Mus musculus: one gene and its partners. The protein of the gene in region 4 purifies or fractionates together with the protein of the main gene of each other region. This does not show direct contact. Links are inferred from orthologs where the notes say so. Each region holds a gene or a part of one and is shown on either strand. Other genes may lie near its edges.

What was found.
Region 1: the proteins of Eif4b (region 4) and Eif3b purify together in Homo sapiens (affinity purification with mass spectrometry; 3 studies listed by BioGRID and IntAct, with this or other methods). This does not show direct contact. The link is inferred for Mus musculus from reciprocal best matches to the Homo sapiens genes EIF4B and EIF3B.
Region 2: the proteins of Eif4b (region 4) and Eif3a purify together in Homo sapiens (co-immunoprecipitation; 3 studies listed by BioGRID and IntAct, with this or other methods). This does not show direct contact. The link is inferred for Mus musculus from reciprocal best matches to the Homo sapiens genes EIF4B and EIF3A.
Region 3: the proteins of Eif4b (region 4) and Eif4g1 fractionate together in Homo sapiens (co-fractionation; 4 studies listed by BioGRID, with this or other methods). This does not show direct contact. The link is inferred for Mus musculus from reciprocal best matches to the Homo sapiens genes EIF4B and EIF4G1.
Region 5: the proteins of Eif4b (region 4) and Usp11 purify together in Homo sapiens (affinity purification with western blotting; 3 studies listed by BioGRID, with this or other methods). This does not show direct contact. The link is inferred for Mus musculus from reciprocal best matches to the Homo sapiens genes EIF4B and USP11.

The regions. Positions count from the first base shown.
Region 1 is NC_000071.6:140,416,944-140,423,212, reverse strand, and holds the start of Eif3b (eukaryotic translation initiation factor 3 subunit B), read right to left. Parts: upstream 3,909-6,269; 5' UTR 3,853-3,908; coding exon 3,387-3,852; intron 1-3,386.
Region 2 is NC_000085.6:60,765,634-60,771,265, forward strand, and holds part of Eif3a (eukaryotic translation initiation factor 3 subunit A), read right to left. Parts: intron 5,505-5,632; coding exon 5,382-5,504; intron 4,387-5,381; coding exon 4,233-4,386; intron 3,260-4,232; coding exon 3,075-3,259; intron 2,031-3,074; coding exon 1,942-2,030; intron 1,363-1,941; coding exon 701-1,362; intron 1-700. UniProt on the Homo sapiens protein: RNA-binding component of the eukaryotic translation initiation factor 3 (eIF-3) complex, which is required for several steps in the initiation of protein synthesis.
Region 3 is NC_000082.6:20,688,327-20,694,115, forward strand, and holds the end of Eif4g1 (eukaryotic translation initiation factor 4 gamma 1), read left to right. Parts: intron 1-212; coding exon 213-311; intron 312-404; coding exon 405-539; intron 540-644; coding exon 645-726; intron 727-865; coding exon 866-1,006; intron 1,007-3,920; coding exon 3,921-4,105; 3' UTR 4,106-4,557; downstream 4,558-5,789.
Region 4 is NC_000081.6:102,082,460-102,088,091, reverse strand, and holds part of Eif4b (eukaryotic translation initiation factor 4B), read right to left. Parts: intron 3,932-5,632; coding exon 3,723-3,931; intron 3,414-3,722; coding exon 3,297-3,413; intron 2,090-3,296; coding exon 2,035-2,089; intron 1,588-2,034; coding exon 1,453-1,587; intron 1-1,452. UniProt on the Homo sapiens protein: Required for the binding of mRNA to ribosomes. Functions in close association with EIF4-F and EIF4-A. Binds near the 5'-terminal cap of mRNA in presence of EIF-4F and ATP.
Region 5 is NC_000086.7:20,701,926-20,708,144, reverse strand, and holds the start of Usp11 (ubiquitin carboxyl-terminal hydrolase 11), read right to left. Parts: upstream 4,237-6,219; 5' UTR 4,178-4,236; coding exon 4,026-4,177; intron 1,234-4,025; exon of another isoform or gene 1,163-1,233; intron 1,157-1,162; exon of another isoform or gene 1-1,156.

The DNA of each region.
Region 1 (6,269 bases), on a different chromosome or scaffold from region 4:
AAAATAAATAAACAACAGAGCTGGACAGATGGCTCAGCCATTGTAGAGTACTTGTTGCTCTTGCAGAGGACTGAGGCTCAATTGTTGGCTCACAGCTACTGGTAACTCTTAGTTTCAAGGAATCTGATGCCCTCTGTTGGTCTCCACAAATACCAGTCACACACGTAGTTCATAAACATGAATGCAGGCAAATACATACAAAGTAAAATGTAAAAAAAAGGGGGGGGGATACAAATAAATAAATGAGTAATGTATGTTTAAGTATAAAAGGCAATTCTGGGCCAGCAGGAAGGCTCCGTGTGTAGAAGCACTTGTCACACAAGCCTGAGGACCTGAGTTCAATCTCTGGAACCCACTGCGGAAGGAGAAAACCAGCTCCTGAACACTGACTGTCCTGACGGCGACACAAATGCTCAGCACCAACTAACTCACCAAATGACTTTTTTCAGGTCACTGCTGGTGGGCTGGGAGTACGGCTTGGTAGAACCCTTGCATGGCATGCGCCAGCTCCTCGGTTCTACCACACTAGTCCATTGCATTCCGTGCTGGCTAATTTTATGTCAACTTGACACAACGAGAGTTACCTGGGAGAAGGAAACCTCACTTGAGAAAATGCCCCCACCAGACTCGCCTGTAGGCGAGGTTGTGGGTTAACTTCTTGCCTGATGATTGGGATGAGAGAACACAATTCACTGTGGCAGTGCCATCCCAGGCTAGTGTCCCTGGATGTTATAAGAAAGCAGCCTGAGCGAGCCTTAGCAGCACTCCTCTATGGCCTCTGCATCAGCTCCTGCCCTCACTTCCTTGGATGATGGACTGACGTAAGTGGCTTTTGTCACAGCAAAAGAAACTTAATTAAGACACATTTCAAAGATGCCAGAATCAAGAGCAGGCAAGGAGTGAGGAGGTAAGAGGCAGATTTTCAACACAGCCATGCCACACACCTTCACTACAGAAACTCCGGGTTCCTTTAAAAGCCTGCTTACCATACAATTAAACAGCCTGCTAAGCTGGATCTAAACTTAACAAGACACAATAAAGAAAAGCCCAGCTTCCATACAGACTAGACTCCTTCCCAGGAGCTCAAAGTGCTCCTAGCCTGTAACTAACCATCTGCTTCTCCTGAGAAGCGCAGAGCAAAATATCCTCAGAACGCAACACACTGCTTCTTTCCATTTGCTTGGGTTTTTTACACTTTATTGTGACATGTATAAATGTTTTTTGTGTATATGTGTACCACATGATCACTCCTGAGTTACAGAGACTTGTGAGCCATCATGCAGGAGCTGGGAATCAAACCCAGGTGCTCTGGAAGAACAGCAAGTGTTGAGCCATCTCTTCAGCCCCCTTCTATCTGTCTTGTGATATAGGGTCCCAAGTACCTCGGGCTGGCTCTGCACCCTCTATGTAGCAAGGGCTAACCTCAAACCTCTACCTTCCAAGTACTGAACTGCTGGCATGCACAGCACACTAGAGAAAACAACTTGTTCATTATCAGTAACAGAATAGGAGGCATATACTGATGTGAGGATTCCACACTGCTCCTCCTGGTAGAAACCAAAAGGCTGTTTCTCTTCTCACCCTGATGACACTGTGACACCCTGATGCCCAAAGCCAGATGGCCTTAAGAGTTCCAACCATTAAGGGCCAGATTCTCATTACTCTCCCTTTCCCTGCATACACTGGACGGGACCCACTGGGCTCCTAGCAGACTTGTTGAAGGCAGGCTGGCCTTGCAGTCACACCAGCCAGCATCCCCTGACTCCTATAATCCCCAATTCTGGAAATAATATACATACTGGAATCTGTGAATTAAACGGGTTCAAATATTCTTTAAATACTCATCTTGCAGTAGACTGACCCATTTTCTTCCCAGTACTTACAACCAATTCTAATTCAAACTCCAGTTCTAAGAGAGCCATCCAATGGCCTCCATGGGCACTAGACACACGGGCAAAATGATCCTGTGCAAAATTTCAATTAAAAACAAATAAACAAAACAAAACAGACCTTTGAAAAGGGGAAAAGATGCTGGTAGTGCCTATGGGCAAATGGTTTAGCTCAAAAGACGCTTGTTGGGCGAGCAGCAGGACTTGAGGTAAGATCACTCCTGTAGGCTAGCACCCAACTCAAAAAAGCTGGAGGGGCACGGAGCCGCATTCCCAGTGCTAGAAAAGTACAAGGACCTACGTGGCCTGCTGGCCCAGCCAAATGGTGAGGTCCTGTCTGAAACCATGAAGTGACAGGGACAGCCCAGACCCAAAATAGCCAAAGGAACCAAGGATTCAAAAGGAGCTTCAAAGTCAAAGCTTAGGCTCTAACATGGGGAAAACAGGTACATTAGCAAGCACTGGAGTCGGGCGAGAGTGGGAACCCAGAAACCTGCTCTACCCAGATAAACGTCCTCAAGGCTGGAGCCTATAGATTCCTCACATTAGTTTATCGGCTTCTCACTCTTAGCCATCTTTCAAGAAATAAGCCAGGCATGGTGACTCACATCTCAAATCCTGGCAATCTGAAAGTGGAGGCAGAAGGATGGGGATCAAAGACAGCTTCAGCTTCATAAAGAGCTGGCCAGCCTGGACCATGCCAGACCCTGTTTCACAACAAAACAAAACAACCCCCACAAACATACAAAAGGATTAAGTCAAACAATGGTGACATCAAATGACGACCTCTTGAAATATTGTAAGTTCTAAGTTGACAACTATATTGGGGCGCTGAATTTTCATGGTAGTTCAAAAGCAATTGTTTGGGAGTACATGTCTGTAGGACCAGCACCGTGAAAACTGAGAAGAACCAAGAGTTCAATTTCAGCCTGAACTACATAGAGAGGCCCTGTCTCGTTTAAAAAAAAAAAAAAAAAAGTGGTGTTCTTAGGCCCTTTGGCCCTTGGTATTAGCCACACCAACACATGAAGGAACTGGCTCAAGTGAAGTTGAAACGGCAGAGGAACACATGCTATCAACTGTCAAAAAAGATTTTAGGAATCTGGCTCCTGTGCAGGTAGACAGAAACAATGCCTTTAAAAAGCCAGTCACCATAGAAGAAATCATGAAGTAAGCGGCCAAACGAACAATGTGAAAAAGCAATGGTCCAGGGTACCGACCTAGTAAAAGGAAGCAGGTTGGTAATGTGCTTGGGTCCGATGGCAATGCCTTACTACGGAAACCATTGGGAACACAGCAACTGGTCAACCCTGGAAACCCTTGGCCAGGAAACTGGAATGCCCCCAGATAGTCCTGTTCGTCCTGCCCTCCACCAACCCCCAGGTGCAAGGGCTTGCCGCAGAAACGGACTCCCCAAATGGTCCCCCACTGTAGAGGAAACAAGATCGTTGTAACCGGGAGACCTCGCGCCCTGGCCGGGGACACGATCGCCCTTACCTTCCTCGCTCACGTCGTCTACGAAATCCTCGGGGTCGCTGAAGGAGGGCTCATCTGCCTCTCCGTTCTCCAGAGCCCGCGGCTCCGCCTCAGCCGCGCTCCCATCAGACCCGCCCTCCTCCTCCGCTCCAGCCGAGGGGTGCCCCCGGGCCTGCTCGCCAACGGCCTCTGCCTTCCCGGGAGCAGAGGGCTCCTGCGACGGGGACCGCTCCGCCGACTGCGGCGTGGGCGAGGCGGCCGGACTCGTCGCCGTTTCCTCTTCGGATTGGGCCGCCGGCTTGGCCCTCACTTCGGGCTCCGGTCCGGCCTCGGCGTCTTCTTCGGCGTCTTCCGTCTGCCCCACTTCGGACCCCCCAGACCCTGCCGCCTCGTCCGTCGGCGGCGACTCGGAGGCCGGCTGCTGCCTCGCGGGCTCAGCCCGCTCCTCGGCCGCCTCGGGCACCGCCACGTTCTCAGCGTCCTGCATGGGCCCGCGCTGCTTCTCACCCGGCTCGGCCGCCCTGCTTCCGACTCCCAGAAGTCACCGCGCGCCGCTAGCGCGGAGCCATGTGCGTGCAGCGATGGGATCGTACCAAGATGTGGCTCGGGGGAGACACCCACGCCCTCATTCCTCACGATCAGCCCGAGAAAACTCAGATATGCATAAAAATCTAGAAACAATTAAAATAATAAGTTTCAAGATATGCAAGTTTATTTATAGCCCAAAAGGTTTTTTAAGGTAGCAAATAAATTCACAAGGATATGTGGCTCCCCCATTCTAGCTAAGAAATAGTTGCGTCCAAGATGGTAGAAGTTCCTTTGCCTCTCCCAGCGGGCGCTACGGGGAAGGACTGTACTATCTGGGGAGCATCAAGTGGATTCTCAAATGATTAACACGCGTAACTGTATGAAGACAAAATATGTGACCATAAAATAATGCCAAGACAACTGAAAGCTCCACACATGATTCTTTGTAAGCTTTGCTTTTAATCAGACAGACTGCTTGACTGACATGACTGGCTTCGCTCCCCCGTAAGGTCTTGCATTTTAGACCGGTCCACTGACGGGGCAAAAGAACGAAGGGTTCCAAAATTACGCGAGGAGCTCGCCGACAACCAGGGGCCGCCAACACACACAAGAATGACTGCCCGCACAATGCAGAGTCGTGTGATGAGCGGCTTTAATCTCAATGGCCATCCTCACTGCAGCGGCTCGCAATTTAGCGTTGGCCCCAGACGTGAAAGTCACTGTGATTCTGTCTGCCGGTGACTGCGGTCTTCACGCGCGGGAGAGCGCGATCACGTGGGCCAGCGTGGGGTGGACGGGACGGAACCTTCGTGGAGTGACCAGGGGGACCCCAAGAGTGGTTTGCTTGAAAAGATAGTCAAGATTTTTGATACTTCCAGTTCAAAGTTTCGAAAATCTTAATAAGAACTAGTTGAGGGGACTAAGAGCTTAAGAACACAAGTTTCGCTCTCAGTACCCATATGGTAGTTTACAACCATCTCTTAACTCGAATTTTTTTTTATGCGTATCAGTGTTCTGCCAGCAAGTCTGTCTGTGCACCGTGTACAAGCGGAGGCCGAAAGAAGGCATCGTATCACGCGCAGGACTTAGAGTAGACAATTATGAACCGCATGTCGTTGCTGGCAATAGAACCCAGGCTCTCTAGAAGAGCAGGCAATGCTCTGAACTGTTGAGCCTAATTTAAAAGACAAAACAACAACAAAAACAGTTGAGTCACCTCTCTGGTCCCAGATCATTCCTAAGAAAAAACAAACAAAACTTTCCTTTTTTTTTTTTTTTAAAGGACCTGTTAGTTGACCAGGAAGCATAGACTTGGAATCCCAGCACTGGGGAGACTGAGGCAGAAAGATCATGCCAGCCTGTGCGATATAAAGACTAAACCACAAAACATGTGAACACGGGCTGATGGATAAGTTAGTACTGGGCTGGCTGAGGTTTTTTTTTTTTTTAAGATTTATTTATTTATTTATTTACTACATGTAAGTACACTGTAGCTGTCTTCAGACCCTCCAGAAGAGGGGTCAGATTTCATTACAGATGGCTGTGAGCCACCATGTGGTTGCTGGGATTTGAACTTCAGACCTTCGGAAGAGCAGTCGGGTGCTCTTACCCACTGAGCCATCTCACCAGCCCCTGGCTGAGTATTTATGATCTACTCAGAAGTATTTATGATCTACTCATCATTTCTTGCTGTTAATCCTGACAATTGAGTTCTATCCTGCAAACTCATATTGTAGACGGAGAGAACTGACTGGGGCCAGGGGCGCTGATGTGCTAGGTACCCACTAAGTAAATTAATTTACTTTTTTTGTTTGTTTGTTTTGTTTTAAGAGACAGGGTTTCTCTGTGTAGCCCTAGCTGTCCTGGAACTCACTTTGTAGACCAGGCTGGCCTCGAACTCGCCTGCCTCTGCCTCCCGAGTGCTAAGATTAAAGGCATGCACCAGCCTGGCTAAAGGATACTTAGTTTTTAATTAGTGTCTCTTCTAGGACTGGCAGGCCCAGACCTTTGAGAGCCCAAAGCCCCAGTGTCTGGATTCGATCCAAATCTTGAGAAAGGCTTATGGCTCCGGGTTCTAGAAGCCAGAGACTTATCATGGCTGTAGGTGCTGGGGAAACAGACTTTCTTCTCTAGGTTAGGTTGCCAGGAGCCCCACACAAAGCATCCACTGTAACCCTCCACCAAGTACTTTTATGGCTCTCAAGCCCTGAGTGTTGAGACCCATGGCTCCTCAAAGATAGTGCTCTCCCATTCTCTTTCTCACTTTCTCTGTCTCTCCTTGAGACAGAGTTTCCCTGTGTAGCTATGGCTGTCCTAGTACTCATTCTGTAGACCTGGCTGACCTCAGATCCCCCTACCTCTACCCTAGTTCTGGAT
Region 2 (5,632 bases), on a different chromosome or scaffold from region 4:
ACAAAAAGAACTGGCAGTAGGGGAAAATGGCAAAAACCAGTTAGTAGGGCAAGGCTCAAAGGAACAGAAGTAGGTAGATTTAAAGATCATCAAAAGGCAGATGAGGGCTGGAGAATGGCTCAGTAGTTGACAGCATATATTGTTCTTGTACCATGTCAGCTCATAACTAACTGCCTTCATTCCATTTCCAGGAAATTTGATGCTCTAGCCTCCAAGGACATCTGCATACCCATATATAGGTGTGCATTCACATGTAATTTAAAAATATAATGAATTTTTTAAAAAAGGAGCCGAGATAAATGGCAGACTTAACATACAGGCTAAAACAGAAGAAAGGAGAGAACTCCTAATTTACACATTTGAGACAGCAGGTCATAAGAGGAGGTGTGTACTTGGAAGAGTGTCAGTGAGCACTCCCAGAAGAACAAAAATGAGCTCCTAAGTATGACCCCATGGACAGCAGTTGTGTGGACATTTAAAAAGAGTAATTTTTATGTAAAAGCCACTGCATGGGCACAAAGAAAAAGGCCTATCTCTTATCTATCTATCTATCTATCTATCTATCTATCTATCTATCTATCTATCTATCTAAAAAGAATATAGTACAACTATCATTTAGCCCAATAATTTCACTTTTTACATGTAAACAAATCTATCAAACAAGTCACAAAACATCGTAATTTTAAAACTAGAATCTTACCTGGCTTGACAAATGGTCTCCAAGGACCAGGTCTTGCATCATCACCCCTTCTAGGAACCCTATCATCATCCATATTTCTCCAAGGCCCTCGGTCATCATCTGCACCTCTCCTGGAAATCCTATCTTCAGCAGCATTCCTCCAAGGTCCTCGGTCATCATCCAGCCCTCGCCTGGGACCCCTATCATCATCCATGCCTCTCCTGGGACCCCTATCATCATCAGCATTCCGCCAGGATGACCGTTCATCATCAGCACCTCCTCGTCTTGGCCCCCGGTCATCATCCATCCCTCGTCTAGGTCCTCTGTCCTCATCTGCTGTACGCCAGCTTCCTCTCTCATCATCCAGTCCCCGTCTGGGTGGTCTGTCGTCATCTGTGTGACGCCAGCTTCCCCTGTCATCATCACCAATTCGCCTGGGAGGCCTATCATCATCTGCATTACGCCAGGAAGGACGGTCATCATCTGTTCCTCTACGAGAAAATCTATCTTCATCGGGACCACGTCTAGGCCCTCTGTCATCATCCAGGCCACGCCTGGGGATACGATCATCATCCGGTCTAAGAGAAGACTCTCTCTCTTCATCGTCACCCCCCAAGCGCCTCAGCCGATCCTCATCTCTCCTGTGAGGCCTCTCATCATCCCGAGTTTCTCGTCTCCACTCCCTAAGGAGAAACAAGGAACAGCTTTAAAAACAATATGGACCCTTGATTTCACTATTTCTTACAAATCGCCAAGTCTAAATTCATTAACTCTGGTCCTTTAAAAATGTTTTCTAAATAAAAACTATGCAAAATTCAGTATCTTAAATCAATATAGACTAACAACCAGATAATAGTCTTGAAAAAATTACCTATATATTTTACAATGAGCTTCCTCTAAACTTTAATTTCTGCATATTTTTAAAGCCACTGTTCCCGTCTATCACTAGCAGTTACCATAAAAAATAGTCAAGAACTGAGCAAGTAGCTTAGTAGTAGAGTGCTTGTTATGCTGTTACCAACCTTGAGTTCTATACACATTACTACAAAGATTAAACAAGCATGTAAATCCAATCCTTGGGAGGTAGAGACAAGATCAAGGTCATCCTAAAGCTACAAAAACCCTCGACACAGGCTCAAATAACAGATGCATACAATTCTTAAAGAAACCTCATCACCTTTTCTTCTACACGCCTGATTTGATTTTAAATCCCAGACACTAATATCTAAGACAAAGTGCACTGATCCCACAAGTCTACTTACTTTTCTGGTGGGCCTCTTCTCCACTCAGAGTCAGCTTCTGGTCCTTTCCTCCAGGTGCCTTCTGAATCTCTATCTCCCCACCGAGAGTCCTGTGGACAAAGCAAAAAGGCACATAGTAATAAAAGTTATAATTACAACTACTGGAGTTACTACCAGTCAAGCACTTCATTATTTAATTAAACAAACCTCAAGATCCTAAAATAAGACTCTTGGTCAAAATGAGGCGCTGCAGCTGTAACTTCAGGAGCTCAAAGCTAGCCTTGGCTGTGTGAGATCTCATACCCCACAGAAATAAAAACCTAGGGACTGGAAAGAGTTAAGTGTATGTACTGTTCTTCTGGAGATCACAGTTCAGTTCCCAGCACCAACATAAGATGCTCACAACTATCTGTAAACTACTGCCCCAGTGAATCCAGTACTCAGCACTCGTGCACATCCCCCATGTGCATAACTAAAAATAATCTACTGAAATATTATTTTCTGGAAAAAAAAATCAATAAACAAGCAGTTTTGTTTAAAGAGCAAAGCAATAACTCAGAGCTGCTGAAGCACAAGCTGACAGCTATAACTGGTGAAGAGGGCTCATTACGTTTGTTTGCTTTTCTCTAGGAAATGAGTACAACCCAAATGAAGCAGAGACAGAAGAGCAGATTTAAGGGACACACATGTTACCATTATGAAAACGGTAGCATATCTAAAGTATAGAAAGAGATTATGACTGGGGAAACAGTTTAGGAATCAGTAATGACACATGGTCTAATTTAAACTGAATTATGGGCAACAAAACAATTAGAAGAATTCAAGAGATGAGAGAAACAAGTCATTTTTGCATACAAGTAATATCAAGAAGTCTAATTATATCGTTGTACTATACATTTTGAATGAAGTTAGAATGGACCCAGTTATCTCTCCCAATTGATGGAGACACTGAATACAAACAGATCTTGGTATCAGTAGTAGTCAGAGAAATCAGGCCACAATAGTACAAGAAAATTCACTGGTATATTTACGTGCAATTAAATAAATGCACAAGGTCTGGGAAGACAGCTCAGTAATAGGGGATTTGCCAGATAAAGTCTAGATTCACACTCCAGTATCAAAGAAAAAACAAAGAGAATAACGTCTATACTCACCTTCCTAGAAAGTGGATCATCACCAAGTCTCCTTTCTTCCTCTCTGCGCCTTTCCCTTTCTTCAATTTCCAGCTCTCTTTGCCGCTTTTTCCTTTCTACTTCTTCTAGTTTCTTGACTCGCTCCTGATACTCTCTAAGTTCTTCCTCCCGTTTTGCTCTCTCAGCACGTTCTCTTTCTTCTCGCTCTATGAAAATTTGTCAGGTTACTCAAATGTGCTTCCCACCCATACTCCTATCATCAGAGTTGCTTTTCTAGTATAAAGCAGAGATGCACTCGTTTTAGAAGGTAATAATATTAAAACATGACCAGCAATGTGACCAGCATTTACACATAATCTATGTATTTAATCCTCAGAACCTATATAAAAATGAAAAAACACCTGATTCTTCAAAGTTAGCCTCTTCTACACATCATACATACCCAATAATTTAGAAAAACTTAAATTTAAAGTAGATGGGAATCAACAAATAGTGATTAAGATTCAAAAAAACAAACAAGAGCCCCAGTGCCCCTAAGAAAAAAAACCCACAAGTAGTCCACCATGATTAGGATGGCCCTACACACTAATTGTGCTTTTGTTCAGTCACACAAATCTAGGCAAAATTGGGAGGGAAGAATATCAACCTAGGAACTGTCTCTATCAGACTGGCCTATAGGCATGACTTGACTGCTGATTGCTGTGGGCAAAACCATCCTTGGGCAGATGTGCCTAGGCTGTGTAAGAAAGGTAACTGAGCAAGTCAGAGGGACTTATCAAGGAAGCAGCTTTCTTCTGTGGTCTTTGTTTCAGTACCTTGAGCCCCCTGGCAGAAACTCTGGCTTCCCTCAATGATGGACCATGATATAGAATCCAAATAAACCTCTTTATCCCCCAAGGTGCTTTTGGTCAGTGTTTTATTGCAGCAACAGAAACCACACTAGAACAAATTCAACCGAATATATAGGGTTCCAGGTGTAGAACCACATATGTAATTATCATTAATGACACAGGTTCTAAACCACCAACAGGAAAAGTATAAAAATATGTAGCTATAGATTGATAGAGGAAGCAGCACCAACATATTCAAAGCACTGCGCTATCTGATCCCTTGGTTTTCTAAATAAGATTGTGAAACATGGTACCCACACCTATGCAGTTTAATGGTTACCATAGTTACCTTTGAGCATCTGCTCCTCTGCCCTCCTCTGCTCTTCTTCTTCCTTTTCTCTGTAATAAGTTATTTTGCGTTCTTCTTTCCGCTGCCTTTTCCGATCTTCTAGGCGACTATGCCTTTCTTCTGCTAAGCGCTCTTCAAACTGTTTCAGTTTTTCCTGCAAATTCAACAGTTACCCCACAGGCCATTTTTTAAGATAAACATGAATAACAGTTTTACACTTGGAAGTTCATGCAATCTGAAAATCACAGAAAGTGGCCACCAAATCAATACAAAAGCAGAATCTCTTAATGGGTTAAGAAATACTGTGTCATATTTGTTAAATTTTGAATTATTAGTATTATCTACACACTGGACTAGTATCACTGAGAGCTGAGTGCTTGCCTGGCACATGTGAGGTGGGTAGTTTCAACTCCCAGTTCCACCCCCTACCTCAAAAAAAGTCACATTTTACTTATAATAAAGAAACTGACTCAGAACTTTTAACAACAAACTATCTTCGATATAGCTCATTTCTTTTTTAGAACTCACTACAAAGACCAGGCTGACCCACAACTCAGATCTGCCTGCCTATGACTCCCAAGTGCTATTATTAAGATAATGTACCTAGATGCCTGGCCGTGATCTAATTTACTTATGAATCAAATAGTAAAAAATAAAACTTAGGAAAAGGGCTGGAGAGATTGCTCGGCAGTTAAAAGCATTGACTATTCTCCCGAATGTCCTGAGTTCAAATCCCAGCAACCACACGGTGGCTCACAACCATCTGTAATGATATTTAACCACCTCTTCTGGTGTGTCTGAAGACAGTTACAATGCACTTACATATAATAATAAATAAATCTTTAAAAAAGAAAAAAAACTTAGGGAAAAAAAAAAGACTCTAGAGGTAGCTATCTGGTAGGCCTGAAATTCCATCCTGCACTGCCCCCAAAATCCCACACTTCAAAAAGATCAAAAAGAATAAACTTTCATCTTTGAAACACTTGAAAAGATTAAAATATCTCCCAACTCATCTATACAAATACTGAGTAATTACCTGTTAACCTTTAACCTGTGTTAAGGGAAAATCCTCAAAAGAAAACTAGAAGTTCACAAATTAAACTTTTCCCTAAACAAAACAAACAAAAAAAGACCCCATAGTGAGCTTACCTCGTAGACAGACTGCCGGGCAGCTTTGAGGCGCATCACAAATAGATCTCTGTCTTCCAACATTCGTGACATCCTATTCTTATGCTCCAGAGCTTTTTCTCGTTCTAGCTGCATTGTAGTGATCTGAAAGTACACAGCACTAGGTAATCTCCAAAGCATCACTCCAGGAAGATGCTCACCTTCCTTACACTGAGAAGCTTCTCCTTCCCCTGTATTTTGCAGTGAAAACAGAACATCCCAACAGATCCCTA
Region 3 (5,789 bases), on a different chromosome or scaffold from region 4:
CTCTAAGTGATACTTTTCCTAGATGCGCTCCCCCATCCTAATGTCATACCACTGAGGTGGTAGTGAGTTCCTATTCCTTGTGATGTTTATTTAATCTAGGCATAGAAGGGTGGTGCCTATGTAGTATGATTATTGAACTATTGAGTCCTAAGAGTCAAGGGCCATGTGTAGAAGTAGCTATTGAGATGCTGAATTGGTCTTTTGTTTTTCAGGGTCCCAAAAAGGTGGGGATGCTGTGGCGAGAGGCTGGGCTGAGCTGGAGGGAATTTCTAGCAGAGGGCCAAGACGTTGGCTCATTTGTGGCTGAAAAGGTTTGACACTGGAGTTCACTTATTCTGCATTTGGGGCTAGCTAGTCTCATCTTTCCCTCATCTTTTACACTAGTTTTGGTCATTTGTTTATAGAAGGTGGAATATACCTTGGGAGAAGAATCTGAAGCTCCTGGCCAGAGGACACTTGCCTTTGAGGAGCTTCGTAGGCAGCTAGAGAAGCTGCTGAAGGACGGCGGCAGTAATCAGCGTGTGTTCGACTGGATAGACGTATGTTTTTCGTGGATATGGGGGAAGGAAAGAGGTAGTTTTTGAGGTGGATGGTTTGGGAGTAACAAGAGTGAATACTTAGAGTCTATTTGTTTTTCTGTACAGGCCAACCTAAATGAGCAGCAGATAGCATCCAATACATTAGTTCGAGCCCTCATGACAACTGTCTGTTATTCTGCAATTATCTGTAAGCCAGGGGAGTGGTGGGACAAGGGTGAGCCAGGCAATCTAATGGGGGGAAAGGAGTTTTGGTCTTGGCCTTCTAGGGCCAGCCAAGCCAGGTGAAGTCTTCATTACTCTGTTTTGTTCCCCCCCCCCCCCTGTAGTTGAGACTCCTCTCCGAGTGGATGTTCAAGTGTTGAAAGTGCGAGCAAGACTGCTGCAGAAATACCTGTGTGATGAGCAGAAGGAGCTACAAGCACTCTATGCTCTCCAGGCCCTTGTAGTGACCTTAGAACAGCCTGCCAGTAAGCCAGGCTGCAGGGGTGAGGGTGGGACAGAGGGGCTGCCAGATAGAAGCTGGTCATGGAAGGTACTCAAGCCAAGAGAGGCGGGGGAAAGAGCAAAATGCCATGGTGATTTGATTGTTACTTACCCTACCCTCTGCTTGTTTCCTTGCCTACAAATGGAGTGAGTTAATCTAAGCCTGGAGGGTTGATTGCCTGCCCGCTTTGTGCTTGACCAGTAGATGACAGCAATGCAGAGGTGATAAACAGTAGCATCTTTCAGATACCATGTGCCCATCTGTCTGATACAAGGCTGAAGTGCTTGCCTGCCTTTTTGGTTTTTTCTAAGACAGGGTTTCTCTGTGTAGCCCTGGCTGTCCTGGAACTCACTCACTCTGTAGACCAGGCTGGCCTCAGATATCCGCCGGCCTCTGCCTCCCAAGTGCTGGGATTAAAGGCGTGTGTCACCACCGCCCAGTGCTTGCCTGCCTTTTTAATAGCTATTAGGGATGGATTTATCTCCCTTTCCCACATTGGAAGATGGGGGCTTATGACTGTGTATGAGGTTTACAAATTCAGGACATGGGCATGCTTAGGTGTTAAAAAACTGTAATGAGCAAATAGAGCATGGTTCTGTGCTGGCCTGGAGTCAAAGCATGAGTGTTGGTAGATAGCTCTAAGAGATGATGGGTGTGGGTTGGTTACCTGTGCATAGAGACATGGAAAGCGCTACTGAAGGAAGTGCTGCAGTCATGAACAAGAGGGAATGAAGAAGTAGGGGTGAGGGGCCAGATACTAAAGGCCAGGTGAGTACTGATGGGGGTCTTGCACAGAATAGAGTAAGGATTGTAAGCAAAGAAAAGAATTTGAGGTGAGAACAGTAGTGCCGTACCCTGTGATCACCAGAGGCAGGGAAGAAGATCTCTAAGTGCAAAGCCAGCCTAGGATGATTAATTAGACCCTGTTTTAGAGAATGATCCCTACCCCAGCTGGTCATGGTGGCACTCAGGAAATGGGAAAATGGGTTTCTGATCAAGACAACCAAGGCTACTACATACATTAATAAAAAACAAAACAAAAAACAGTACCTAAAACATAAGTACCTTTAAAATGCTGTCAATTAGCTGTTTACTTCTATTTTACAGTGGAGACTGGCTTGCTTGGAATGGGATTGCCTCAAGATAAGAGCTCTGGTAAAATGGAGAACACAGATAGGGCAGGGGCCTGTGAGCAAAAAAAGTTTGGTATAGGAAAATGGTTGAAAATGCTAGATGCTATAGTGTGGCAGGAGCCTATCTAAACATTAAAAACCTTGAGTATTTAAAACATCGACATCGGCAGAGACAGGCAGATTTCTGAGTTCAAGGCCAGCCTGGTCTACAAAGTGAGTTCCAGGACAGCCAGGGCTATACAGAGAAACCCTATCTCGAAAAACCAAAAAAAAATATAAAAAAACAAAAAACATCGACGTCTTACTATCAAGCTACAGAATTTGATGGAGTAAGTAGGGGTCCAAAGTTCTGAATTGGAGAGAACTGAGATAGTTGTCTGAGACAGAAAAACAAGTACAAAAATCTTGTTTAGCTGTGGGGTAGTTAAAAGGTTGTTTGTGGCAAGATTGGACTTAACAGAAATGTGGTAAATGTGTGGGGCAAAGTAGATAAGCAGGTGTACAGGGCTCTCTGAGAAAGCAGATGGCTTTGGAGCACAGTTGTGGGATAAGTGAAGGATCAGCTCTACCCAGAGATGTGGGAAACCCAGAGGGATGAACCCAGGCTTGAACTTCCCGTAGTTAGTAAGCTAGCTTATCACCTTAGAGCTGGCCTTGAGGTCCTGTGCTTCACCTAATGGAGTTTGTGAGGAATGGGGTGGATGGTGTTCTGGGATTGCATTGTAAGACAAGCACCAACCGGGCGTGGTGGTGCTCGCCTTTAATCTCAGCACTCGGGAGGCAGAGGCAGGCGGATTTCTGAGTTCCAGGACAGCCTGGTCTACAAAGTGAGTTCCTCCAGGACAGCCAGGGCTATACAGAGAAACCTTGTCTCGAAAACTAAAAAAAAAGAAAAAAAAAAAAAAGACAAGCACCTCAGGGAAACTGCTGTGATGGCTAAAGGTTCCTGGGGGATTCACCAGGAAGATGGGATGGTAAGAGAAGTGGGCAGAGTGGAGCATTCTAGAGGCCAGAGAGGGTATGAGTATGTGGCAAAGAGGCTGCCAAAGTTTGTCTCGAATCTGTCTGTCATGGACTCAGTGCTGGACCTAGAGTTGAACCTAACTTCCAACTATTTATTTCTTTAGTCAGTCTTTTGTGATGCAATCTTAAGTAGTCTGGGCTGGCCTCAAACTAGTTAGGTAGTTTAGGCTTACCTTAACTTTGATCCTCTTGCACTCTATATTCCAAGTAATGGGATTCCAGTAACGGGCCTAACATTTTCCCTTTCTTGTTTTTATTTTGGCTTTTTTTTTTTTTTTTTTTTTTTTTTTTTTTTTTTTTTAGTATAGCCTCAATCTGTAGACCCAGGCTGGATATATCATTATACCCAGCCTTCTGTCTCTTTGTTCTCTTGAGACATGGTCTCACTTGTGTAGAACTAGCTGGCCTAGAAAATTTTATTGCAGACCAGGCTCCTCTCAAACTCTTCCTCCTGAGCAATGAGATTAAAGGTTTGTGCCACCACACCTGGCCTCTGTTTTTCCCCTTTTCAGTTTTGCTAAGCTGCCAGAGTTGGCTTTGAGCTACTATCTTGATCTGCCTCAGTCTTCCAAATATTTGTTTCTAAGGATTGCTAGTCTGTCATGAGATTAGCATTCTGTCGCTGAGCACCAGGATGGTAGATCACGGTTGTGTTTAGCAGTGTCTTTTTGGGAGGGATCTCCGGGTGTAGACTGCTAACGCTTTGGCTAGTCACCTAATTGATGTCCTTGTGGCTTGCAGACCTGCTTCGGATGTTCTTTGATGCTCTATATGATGAGGACGTGGTGAAGGAAGACGCCTTCTACAGCTGGGAGAGCAGCAAGGATCCTGCTGAACAGCAGGGCAAGGGTGTGGCCCTTAAATCTGTCACAGCATTCTTCAATTGGCTTCGTGAGGCTGAGGACGAGGAGTCTGATCACAACTGATGGCGGGTGGGGCAGGGGACTTGGAGCCATGGACACGTGGATGGCCCAGCCAGCCAGCCGCCTGGACTGCAGGGGGGCGGCAGCAGCAGTGGCGGCAGTGGCAGTGGGTGCCTGTAGTGCGATGTGTCTTGAGCTAATAAAGTGGCTGATGAGGCAGGATGGCTTGGGGCTGCCTGGGCCCCCCCCCCCTCCAGGATGCTGCCAAGTGTCTCTCTCCTCCCCCCAGGGCACAGAGATATATATAAAGTCTTGAAATTTGGTGTGTCTTTGCGGGGGGAAGGGCACTACCGCCTGCCTCTAGGGTCCTTTTTTATTTTCTGAAATCACTCTTGGGACTGCCGTCCTCGCTGCTGGGGGCATATGCCCCAGCCCCTGCACCACCCCTGCTGCTGCCTGGGCAGGGGAAAGGGGGGGGCACGGTGCCTGTAATTATTAAACATGAATTCAATTAAGTTTATTGCCTCTTTACTGACCTATGGATCATCTTTCTTACCAGATCTGGCCACTGTATCATTGATACTTGCTTGTTTACCTGTCAGAAAATTTTGGGGACCTGGGGAATTGCTTTTCTGGAGGGTTGAGATCTTTGGATCAGCTTGACACAGTGATGAGTGCTGTAGTGTACTTTTGCTCCTACCAGATTGATCCGAGCTCTGAGCTTGAGACCCTTGTAGAAGCCCTAAATGAGATGTCCTATGTAAAATGACTGCATGGTCTACCGGCTTCTGTCAGTATCGCTCCGCAGTGGACTGGAGATGCTGTGAGACCCAGGCTGTCACTGAGTGGCTGTGACGTAGGCTTGCCCCGCCTGCTCTGGGTGGGCACGGCCCCGCGCTTACGTCACCGGCCCTGTTCCCCTCTCCCGGGAGCGGCAGCAGACGCGCTGCTCCCACCCCCTCCCCTTCTCACAAGCTGTCCCCTCCCTGGTGGTGACCGCGGCCCGACCCTCTGCAAGGCGATGGCCCGGGTCCCGAGCGCGGGCTAGCGTGCCTGGGTGCCTTGCCATGGGCTGTATTGGCTCTCGGCGCTCAGCCGGTCAGGGTAAGAGGTGGAGGCCGGAGCATGGATAGGGAGTCGGGCTACATAGCTGCCAGGTGGGGCCGTGGGTGGTAGGGGCGGTGAGGAGGGGGCTGGTATAAGGAGAGGGAGGAGCCTGCGTCAGGAAGGCGGGTTGGGCCAGAGGAGCGTACGGCGAGGGGGCTAGCCGACTCTGACTTGTTCCTGTGGCCTGCCTGCTACTGGGATTTTCCGTGGTGTACTCACCTTCTGCCTTTTGCCTGTATTCCTGCTGCTGAGAGTGGCTGCGGGGGCACAGCCTGGGAGCCGCAGGCCAACCTGCGGCCCCCACCTTCCCGGGCTCCAGGCAACTAGCCTTTTGTATATACATACTTCATTGCCTACACCTACCTCTCTGATCTCAGTGTCTTAGGAGTGGCTCTTTGCTGTGAACCTGCCTCTCCTACCTGGGTGCTCTCATCCTCAGGAGTCAGTTTGCAAATGCTGGCCAAGTACCCCACCGAACGCTAGTTTTTGCCTAACACTTGCTCAGAGCGTCTCCCAGCTGGTTGATTAAAGGGTCGGAAGCCCCAGGTGGAGCATCTGTGAGCAAATTGATAACCTCTCACGCTCACAGATAATTTTATTCCTATTACCCCCCCCCCAAACAAAACAAAACAAACAAACA
Region 4 (5,632 bases):
CTCAGCAGATCCTGCCTCTCAAGCCTGACAACCTGAGTTCCATTCCTAGGACCCACATGGAGGAAAGAAAACAAGGCTCTCAAAAGTTGTCCTCTGACCTCCACAACTTATACCAAGGCATACATGTGCTTGGTTAGGCAACCAATAAATGTTTTTAAAAAATCTGGCAGTGGCTAAGGAGAAGGCTCTACTCTTAAAGAGTGCACACTGCTCATAGGTCAAGTATCCAGTGCCTTCTTTTGGCCTCTCTGGATCCTGTTCTCGACTACACACTCCCTCCACGTTATCTCCCTCCCTTCTTGCTGTACGTGAACTTGCTTTGTAAACCAGGCTGGCCTTGAACTCTAGCTGCATCTGCCTCCTGAGTGCTGGGAATAAAGGATGCACCACCACACCTGACAAAAAAATAACACCCTAATCTCAACACACAGTAGGGTTAATGCAGGCAGATCTCTTGAGTCCCAGACCACCCAAGACTACATAGTGAGACCACCTCAAAAACAAACTTAGTATTAACACAACCCAGTACAGGCAAACACAAGGCTGCATCTCACCTTCACTCTCACAGCACTGCCCAGCCTTTCCTGCTGCTGCCAGTGTTCAGTGAAAAGGTTCTTTGTATACTTTCTTCAGCACAAAGTACAGTCAATATTTTCTTAAAAACAGGTTTATTTACTTAAACTTTTTAAAGTGCTGTCTGCCTGTACACTTATATGCCAGAAGAGGGCATCGGATTCCATTACAGATGGTTGTGAGCCACCATGTGGTTACTGGGAATTGAACTCAGAACCTTCGGAAGAGCAGTCAGTTCTCTTAACTGTAAGCCATCTCTCCAGCCCTAGTCACTGTATTTTTAAGTGAATCAATCTTACGTTTTCTGAAAGTCACCTTTAAAAGCTAAGCACAATTATAGTCACATAGCCGTTCCTGGCTGTGTTCCACATGGAATCTCACTGGTGGAGTTTAAATAAGCATCAGCTTTTTGCTGTAGGTTTCATGTCTGTGTGTATGTAGGTCTGTGTTGTTCTTGCTTGGCGTCAGGGTCTCTCTGTGACCTGAAGTAGATAGACCCACTGACAAGTCAGTAGGCTCTAGAGCTACCACCCTCACTGCACCACATCTGTCTTCTTACCAGGGAGACTAGGAATCCAACTTAGGATCCCACTGCTTGTTTGATAGGACTTTAACATTTGAGACCAAGCTACTACCTCTTCTGCCTCAGTTATTCTTTATAAACAATTGTGTTCAAAGAGAAATGCCTGTACTTTCTGTTAATATTTTTTAAAATTAGGAACTTATCAAATTTCTTATCTGCATTTGTCAACAATTCTTATTATCAAAATAACTCCCCCCAAAAAACTCCATAGAAACCAGACTTTATAAGTTGTTCCCCAACTTCTAACGTTCCATTATCAAACAGACCCAAGAAACAATTAAAAAACCTGAACTTACTGTCTCCAAAGCTATCATCGCCTCTTCTAGGTGGGTAGTCATCAAAACTGTCTGTGGTGGGACGGGCCCTCCAGTCTGTGTCTGTTTTGTCAGAATCCCGATTTCTATCTCGACCAAAAGAACGGTCATCCCTGTCTGTAGACAGAAAACCAAACAAGTTAGCTCACCCAAGACACCACTTACTTCTCACATGGTCCCTCACATCCCACCTACGGTTTCTATTGCACTGGCATCCCAAGGCCAGGCCTTGAGGTTGCTCTCTCCAGGTAACCGATCTATTCTTTTCCTCAAATGTATTTTAATTAATGTTTATCTATATCACACTAAAGCTCAAGCTCCTAGGTAGCAAATCTAATTATAAATTTACAGCCCAAGGATAGTAGGTGGTTTGAAATCGGAAGGAGATAGGATGAATCTGGATTATACTCATTAGGTATCAGTAGTAGTCCCTTCGACTGAGGCAAATCTCCTTTAATACTGCCTAAAGTTACCATGGAACAAAGCAGGCTGAGAACTGATTCTAGCCTCACTACCTCCCTAGGACCACTACACCAAACTGGGAAGTTCTACCAGTTTTCTTACCTTTATCCTGTGCTTGATCAGCAACATCCACACGAATTCTCCTGTTACCTAGAGACTGAGAGCATAGGATCCTATTAACTGACCCTTGTTAGCTTAAAAAGCTCTAAGAAGCAGGACATGGTGGCGCACGCCTTTAATCCCAGCGCTTGGGAGGCAGAGGCAGGCGGATTTCTGAGTTCAAGGCCAGACTGGTCTACAGAGTAAGTTCCAGGACAGCCAGGGCAATACAGAGAAACCCTGTCTCGAAAAACCAACCAAACAAACATAACACAAAACTCAAGAACTTCAAGAAAAATTTGAAGCAAATTTAGAGTTAACAAAGTTGGTGTTAGATTAATATAAAGTTAACTCTATTTTTCGAAAGCTAACTTCATATACCGGAGTAAACTCAATTTAGTGTAATGAAAGCAATTCTCAATCAGCTAACATGCTTGTAATTATAGCCCTCAGGAAGCAAGTTCCAGGCCAGCCTAGGATCTATAGGAAGACCCAGCGTCCAAAGAACAAGGACAATTAAAATACCAAAGCAGCTAGTTATTCAATCCAACAGGCCAACAACACAGCAGCGGCACACTGAGGACTGCTTTCTCCAGGCCTTTTCACTCAACTCAGAGCTTAGTTCCTCTGACTTCCCCTTTCCTAATTACCTTTTAAATACTCTGACCAACTGCTGAGCACCAACATGGATATCTGGCTCTACCAGTGAATTTTATTTAACATTATCTGATACAGACTAAGGCATTTAAATCATTATTCAATGAAAATATTTCTAAGAGCTGCTTATTTACAATTATACCAAATGGTAGATTCAGACTATGAAATTCTGGAGTTAAATACCCCAGCCCCGAAAAGATACACTTTAGAGAACCTAGTTAACTTTTCTCTCTACATTTATAAAGGCAGTTTATTTTTAAAAAGTAAAACCCTAGAGCTGACATAAAGTAGTAAATAGGTTCATTAGAAATCTGGTATGTTGGGTTTCTTCCCTAAAATTCCATTGCAATCACTGTACCTGAAATGGTATCAGGAGGGACTCGGTTTGGTTGATAAACAAAGACTGCCCATCCTTCGCCTGCACTTTCTGTGATTGGTTTGCCTGCCTGTCTGTCTGAGGGGAAGGTGTCAGATCTTGGAGTTCCTGATGGCTATAAGCTGCCATGTGGTCGCTGGGAATTAAACCCAGGTCCTCTGGAAGAGCAGCCAGTACTCCTAAAGGCTGAGCTTTCTCTCCACCCCCTCACCCCACCTCTTAATTTCTTTACCTCTTCATTGAGACTCAGAGCACTGAGCAGAGAATCCAGGTCCTCAAATTCTGCGTAGCCGAAACCTTTCAACCTGTCTGGATTGCTGGGTTCCCGTGGTAAGCGTACAGCGCTGATCTGAGAGAATAAAGAAACAAACAAACAAACAAAAAAACAGGGTTAAAAACAAACAAACCAACCCAAACAAAAAGTAATTTCTCCAAAGAACATATAAGAACCTGGGAGAAAAATGGGTAGAGGGGCAGAAGACAAATTACTCTATAGCCCACACTGTTCAAGTCATAGTAATTTAACCCTTAAAACAAAATTAATTAAGGTATTCTTTGCATCTTGGACTCTGTTGCCTTCCTCTGTGGCCCATCCCACAATCGGTTTATTTAGCTTTTATCCTCAATATCCCACAGTTTGACACAAAAAGACACTTACATTTAATCCTCTAAAGAAATCCTTAATGGAGTCTTCTGTCACATCATAGGGCAGATTCCCTAGGAAAGCAGTGTAGGGTGGCGACTTGGGAAGACGGCTCCGGTCAATATTGGGTTCCCGAGCAGCCCGTGGAGCAGTGGGAAGGATGGAACGGTCAATTGGAGGCGCCCTGTACACGTCATCATCGTTACTATGCCAAGTTGTTGACACTAGGACAGAAGAGCAGACAAAAGGAAATTAAGAAGCCAAGCATGGCAGAGCACCTGAGTAACTGAGACAGTAGGATAAATGTGAGCAAATCCAGCCCGGGTTACAGGCTAAGACCATCTCAAAACAACCCAAAATCCAGCAGTCATAGTGTAGAGGCTGGCTCAAAGTCTGAGACCAGCCCAATATTCACAGTGAACCCCAGACCAGTCACTACTATAAAAAAGAGATTCTGTATTAAAAAGCACATGCTGGAAGGTGGTGGCACACACCTTTACATCTGAGTTCAAGGCTAGTCCAGCCTAGAGAGTGAGTCTTAGCATAGCCAGGGCTACACAGAGTAATCCTGTCTTGAAAAAGCAAAATCCTTCAAACCAACTCCCACAGATCCACATGCATATAAGATTAGAGCCAGAGATTCATGCCAACACCAAGCCAAGTCAAAACAAGGCTGTGCCACTGAAGCAAAAGACAAGAAAATACTTCTAAGGTGTTATAATCAAGATCGAAAAAAGAGGGACTGAAGAGATGGCTCAGCAGTTAAGAGCACTTGTTGCTCCTGCCGGTCTCAGGTTTAATTTCCAAGCACCCATATGGTGGCTGGGATCCAACAGGCACACAATTATTACACATAAACAAAGAAAAAAAAAAAAAAACAGAAAGTAAGGAGTACTCAAGGTCTATTTTGTGGATCTTAAGGCCTTTGACTGCTTTCTCTCATTTCACTCTTTAAGGAATCTATGAACCAAATCCTTCACATGTTTACTATAAAACACTTTAGCCTGAGAAGCCTGCGACACTGTTCTATATACAGAAAACAAAACTCAGTGAAGACAATTATCTGATGGTAAAGCATTTGACCAGGATCCTCTCTACCTCAACACGCTAAGCACTCTTGACAGCTCTCACTCCCACATGGGCGGGGCTTGTGTGCTCTGCCCCTTCCCCACCTTTGCTTTTGTGAAGACAGTGTGTGTCTACCCTGGGGCTCGAGGCCTTCCTGTCTCTACTTCCCAATCCCAGGAATTACAGCTCATACCACCTTACCAGGGCTTCCTCAAGATTTGTCTTCCCCCCAAACCCAAACAAAAAAACAACTATCCTAGTCCTGGTCCCTGAATTTGTATTTAGTTTCAACATTTAGAGAATATATAAGCTATATAAAACTTCCTGTTTTCATTATAAAAGAGGCCACACACAAAGTAGTCAATTTGCAATAAGTTTTTTGGGGGGTGGGGTAGGAATGGAGAAAGAAAACTGGCTAGACTGATGAAGCCCTAGGTGTGGTATGCATGTCTATAATTCAAGTACTAAGGAGGCAGATGTGAACAGATCTCTGATAGCTTGAGATAAGCCTTGTCTGAAATATCAAGTCTAGGTCACATAGGGCAACAGGAGACCTTGTCTGAAACACAAAGCCGAAACATATATACCCTAACCAAAACCAAGGCCAGGCTGGGTGGCGCAAGCCTCAATTTCAGCATTCCAGGACAGATGATCTCTATGGATTCTACGCCAGTCAAGGATTCATAGTGAGCTCATACTCCAAACACCACCCACCCACCCACCCAACCAAAACACCACAAAGCTTTTAGGTTTTCCTTATGAGTGATATCACAACGCAATTGACAAAGTTGTGTATATTCAGCTGCTGGCATCAAGTTGAGGTGAAAATAGGCTGAGGGAACAAAATAGGAATTAAC
Region 5 (6,219 bases), on a different chromosome or scaffold from region 4:
CATGTAGTGTCAGTGCACCTCTCTGAACCTAGCCACCCTTCTTCCTTAAGAACTCCACAGTTGTTTACTGTTAGGAAGTTTCTGTACCCTATACAGAAGTAACCAAAGTCTCTCAAATATCCTTGATTTAAACGTGTAGACAATTCACTGTCACAAGAACTGAAACTTTCTAAGGAAGCTGTCTTTTCAGAGATTGGAATGTGGCCTCAAAACATAAGCTCTTTAGGGGCTGGGTCAAGTGCCTGCTGTGTTTGGATCCTCACAGCTACAGAAAAAAAGCTGAGCAAAAAATTTGGCACAAGACAGGTGGCAGTGGTACACACCTTTAGTCCCAGCACTAAGGAGCCAGAGGCAGGTAGATCTCTGTGAGTTCGAGGCCAGCCTGGTGTACAAAGTGTGTTCTAGGACAGCCAAAGTTACAGGGGAAACATTGTCTTAAAAAAACTTAACATTTGGCATAGTGATAATCTCAACACTTGAGGGGGCCATGGAGACAAAATACTAAAGGTTTGCTGGCCAGTCTAAAACAGAGCTCTGGGTTCAAAAAGCCCTGTATCAAAAAATAAGGTGGAAGGTGGGTAAGATGGTACAGTAGGTAAAGGTGCTTGCCACCAAGTCTGCTGGCCTGAATTTGATCCCCCAGGAAATACAGAGAGGGAACGGACTCCTGCAAGTGGTTGTCTGGCCTCCTCCAGCACAGAGTCACATGGTGTACTCCACCCCACCCCCAAACAAATGCATCTAAGAAATTTAATCAGTAAAGATGAGTGAGTTACTTAACTGGAATTGTTTTAATCTGCTATTAAGCTAAGGATGGGAGGTACAGCTAATACTGACAGATGTATGATTTGAAGCTAGTCCTTGAATTCAAATGCTTTATAAATACGTATTTCTCAACTATGGCAGCAAACTTTGAGATCCTTTGCTCTTACCTAATTTAAATGAGCAACAAAAAGTGGAGCTTGGCAAAATGCTTCATAACAATTCCAACAGGAGAAACAAATTGGCTTTAATACTCAACCAACACTGGTGTGGTAATTTTTTTTAATGAGGTGAAGTTAACATAAAATTAACCCATTTTAAAGTGAACAATTCATTAACATTTAGTACATTCACAATGTTGTGTACCCACCTCTACTTACTTCCAAAATATTTTCCTTACCCCAAAGAAGGTCCTCTCCTGGCAGGCTAATTTAAAAGGCCATTGGTAAGGATGACAGGATCATGTGTTATCTACCAATAGCAAAAATAATGACACATCTGTCAAGGTAGGAAAGAGGAATGAACCAAAGCTTTGAGAACTGTTGGACATCTCCAAATGAGTTATACAAACAGTCTGGTTACTGTTTGTTTTCAGGACGGATTGAGGCCAGTCTTTGCTGGAGAACTATGATATAATGGCAGAAAGATGTCACTATATCCTCTAGTATGGGAATTGTAATTTATCTCCCCAGTAATGTATACACATTTCACTGGCAGTGTTGTTTAGGAACTTTGTAAAGTGGGAAAACCTGGAAAAGGCCCTAAATGTAAAGAACAGCAATAGTCTAATGTGGGTGTCCCTGATGGAGAGAGGAAGGGCCTGGGGGCTGATAATCAGATCAGAGAAATGTTAGAATGGAGAAGGGGTACCAGTCTCCAAAAGCCTTGCAGGTCACTGAGGACTTTACCATTTATACTGCATGAAACAAGAAGCTGTTGGATATCCTGAGGTACAGATGGACAGAAAATATAAATAAAATTTAAATATGTATTTAAGAAACTACTGCTTAAGGGAACAGCAGCATCTTAACACTTGAGAAACCTGGCAGACCAACAGGTCAAGGTTAATGTATCAAATTACATCATACAGATACTATTTACCATGGAATATAAGGGCTCACAGTCTATTTCACAAACACTCATGTTCATATATATGTGTATATTCACATATATATGAATATTGGAAGTTTATTATGATAATGAAATGTGAAAAGAGCCCTTTAATTCAAAATTTAGGATAACAGTTTCCTATGAAGATGGAGGGGAAAAGCATACGAGTTTTAAGGTAATGTTCTGAATCTTCACATGAGTGATTAATCCACATATAAAATTTACTAAATTTTCTTTGAAGTAAACTCACTGAAAATGGGTTTTTAAAAAGCCAGGCATGGTGGAGTATGCCTGTAATCTCAGCCAGATTTCTAAGTTTAAAGCCAGCCTGATATAGTTACTTCCCTGACAGCCAGGACCACATAATAGAGACCCTGCCTCTAAAAAGAGAGGGCAGAATAATATAAAGACTTCTCTGTATGCCCTTAGAGTCCCCAAATCTAACACACCTTATCCATTTGTTCTATTCTTTTTTTCCCCATATCATCTTTGGGGTATTTTCATTTATCTTAAACTAGACAAAAAAAAGTGTGCATTGATAGTATACAGCATGTTTTGATATATACATTGTAAAACACTAAATCAAACTAGTTAACAAACCAATTATGTCACACAGTTTGTTTGGGTAAGAACATGTAAAATCTATTAAGCAATTTTCATGTATAGAATAGAGTGTTATTAGCTATAATCACCATTTTGTACAAGGGAGCTCTTGAATTTGTTCCCTTTTGTCTAACTAAATTTTACATCCTATGACCAATATTTCCATAATCTTCTCCCTCCCATGTGCATTTTTAATATAATTATTTGGTAAGTTGTTTACACGATGGCTCCTTATCTATGAAATTTCAGTATGTATTTTTTCACCAAAGGATATTCTTTCATAACCACATTACAATTATCACAAGAAATTATCAGTACCAGTATTTTATCTACTGGCCTTTGTCAAATTTCACCGATTTTTTTTCCAATAAAATTTACAGTGAAAGAGAAATAAATTATGAGAAAGAACCCTCATTTTTAAAAATAATTTATTTTTCCTGTGCTAGATCCAAATGAGGATCACGTGTTGCATAGACTTGTTAAACTGCATTAATTCCTTCAATCTGGAACAGTTCTTCAGCGTATGCCTTTCATGACCTTGCCATTTTTGAAGCATACAAACCATTTCTTTCAGCAGGATGTCCATTTATGTAAAACGTTTTATACTATAATCTTTGTAGGTCTTACGATTTTCACAATTAAAAATGAGCAGCAACTCAAGAGAGAAATAGGAACCCGGGGAGCAGTAAATTTTAAGAGGCATTGATTAGCATTTAAAAAAAAATGGTCTAACAAGACAATTTGTTAAAAGCTGTGGATCCCTTTTAAATAGCCATTTCTGATTACAAAAATATTATCACGTGGAAAAAAAAACTCCCCAAATAATCTTTTGTAAACCACCTGCACTTTCTCCTGTTCTAGGAAGGAGACCTTAACTAGAGGGGTATTAAAAAAATAACAAAAACAACAAAAAAAAATACCGCGTCACAATCTTTGCTCTTTTGCAGGCGCCATTTTCTGCCCCAGGCACTGCCCCTCCTCCACAGTTTGCCCCTCCCCAGCCCTTCGCCTTGTTCCCAGGAGCCAGGCACCCTCCCCATACCACACTATTCCGCCCCTCGGCCCACAGCTATAGGCTATGGAGTTGCTCTTCAGCGGACGCCACCAAGCTCGTCGGGTTCACAGGCGCTTCGAGTACTTGTAGGCCGTTCCTTGCAACCGACGCAACGTTTTGTAACACACGCCACGCCCCCGCGTTAAGTACGGAGCCAGCCTCCTTTCCAGGCTCCAGGTTCCAAGACGCAGTCCCCTCTCACCCCCTCCCCAAACGATGCAGTCCCCTGACTCCCACGGCCATCCCCTTCACGCCCCACCCCTATCACAAACCCCATTTTGTCCTTAGGCGGCTGACTGCCCCACTCGGGCCCCGCCTTTTCCCCCAAACGTTGAGATTCATTCACTTAGCACTTCCACGCCCCCTCTCTCCCGCCGGCCCAAGCCCCTTCCCAGCCTCGCACCGCTTCATCCTCAGAATTTGATTTCTAAGTACCCCGCGATACTAACGCCCCCAAGGTCCCCTTGGCCAAGGCTTCATTGAAGCCCAGCCTCACCAGCTTTCGCCAGCTCGCAGTGGACGCTCTCGCCCATTCCCGATTTGGCGCCACTGTTCATCCAGGTCTGGCATTGCCTCGGGCTGTGTGTCTCGGTCCTCAGCAGAGGCCGGGACGGCAGCTGCAGCTGGGTCCGCTGCGACCGCCGCCATCACCGTCTGTCCTCCTCCAACTGCCGACGCAACTGAAGATAGGAAGACGACCCTCAACTGGCACTTCCGGATTCTGTCCCGGAAACGGAAGCAGAGCCCCCCAACAATCAGGGGGCTACTGCCATCTTGGAAACGTCACCATTTGGCGGAAATTGGGTGGTGGTCTGTGGTCTCTGCAACCAATACCAGGGGTTAACTCTCTTGTTTGGAACTAAGACATTAGTGCCTTGTGGAATTCTCTAACACCAGGTGAAATGGTCCTTTGGTGGAGGCCAGAGGTTTCCAAAATGAGCAAATATGTGTTTAGGGCCTCACAAAGGATGCTTAGGGCAAATAGTTGCCCCTTTAACTGCAAACCCATACTATGAAAGCGGCATTTTTGTTAGCCTAACGTGAATTACCTTTCTCATCCATCAAAACCAAATGTATGGGCTAGAGATATGGCTCAGAGGTTAAGGGCACTCATTGCTCCTGCAGAAGAAAGAGTTCAATTCCCAGAACCCACATGGTGGCTCACAACCATCCATAACACAGGTTCCTGAGGATCAGCGGAAATGGACAAGGTACACATATATGAATACAGGGAAAACATTTATATACATGAAATAAAAGGTTTTTTTCTCAAATAGTTTATCATCTCCTGAGAGCCTGAACTAGGGTGTGGCTCTCTGTGTGATTGTCTGTGTGTCATCTGTCTTTTCTATCTTTGAGACAGGGACTTTGCTAAATTGCCCCAGAATTTCCTCCAACTCTATGAAGCCCAGGCTGGCAATTGATTTGCCTTGATCCTCCTTCCTCAGCTTCCAAAGTGATGGAATACAGGCATGCACTTCAACATTCAGCTTCCTGAACTAGAGTTACCAGACAAATCTGTGTGTTTGTTGGAAGCATAACAAATACTGAGTCTGTCCAGTTTAAGTGACTTGCTGGACTTAAATAGTAGCCTTGGGTAGCAGATAACTGTATTGTTTTTGGCCCATGAGTAACAATGTGGGAAACTGAGAGCCAGAAATGTGAAATCATTTGTCCTCAGCTAGGATGTGCCATAGCACGGCAGACCTAGTTCCAGAGCTGTGTCCTTAAACACCAGGCAGATCCTCAAACTGTGGTCACATGCTATCAGCTCAGGAAACCCTCTCAGGAGGTTTCACAAAATCAAGACTTTCTGCAGTATCTTCACTCTCATTTTCATGCATATATAGTGGAATTATTCAGAGGGTATCTTGGGATAACCAATTCATTGAGTGTCCCCAATCTTTAATATAAAGGAAATCTGATGACAAACATGTATGTGAAAACCATTGAACCGGCCAGGGTTTCTTTTGGTGTTTTTTTGAAAGAGTCTCAATTCTGAACATGAAGCTCAGATTGGCCTTGAACTTATGATGATCCCCCTGCCTTAGCCTCCCAAATGCTAGGAGTACAGGATACAGGTGTACCAGGCTCTATGTCAGACTTCAGCACTACTGCAATTTTTTCTTGTGAGAAGTAGCACTTTAGCTGGGCATGGTGGCTCACGCCTTTAATCCCAGCACTCAGGAGGCAGAGGCAGGCGGATTTCTGAGTTCGAGGCCAGCCTGGTCTACAGAGTGAGTTCCAGGACAGAGAAACCCTGTCTCAAAAAAAAAAAAAAAAGAAAAGAAAAAAAGTAGCACGTTAGGGTATTAAGCTGTTCCCTGATCTCTACTTCTAGAAAATGGTGGCAACCATCACAACAAAGGCTGTGTATCACCAGACATAATCAGACATCCTTAAGTGTGGAGATCATCTCTCTGGTTGAGAAAGATCCTATTAGGCTGTTACCCTTTTCTTGTAGGCTCTCAGTTCTACTGGTCAGTGATGACTTTAGTTCTCTGTGCTTCTCCACCTCCCTTTCTTTTGGCTGTCCTCACCTGTTCCTGTTGACAACCCACAAACTCCCCCGCAAATCATGATTTTGGGGCTAGTTTAGTGATTACCTTCACTATTACCAACTACACACAGACAAGAATTTTAAGCTGTGCCTTCCTATTCCTATATAGACCCCTGTGCACACAGGTCTG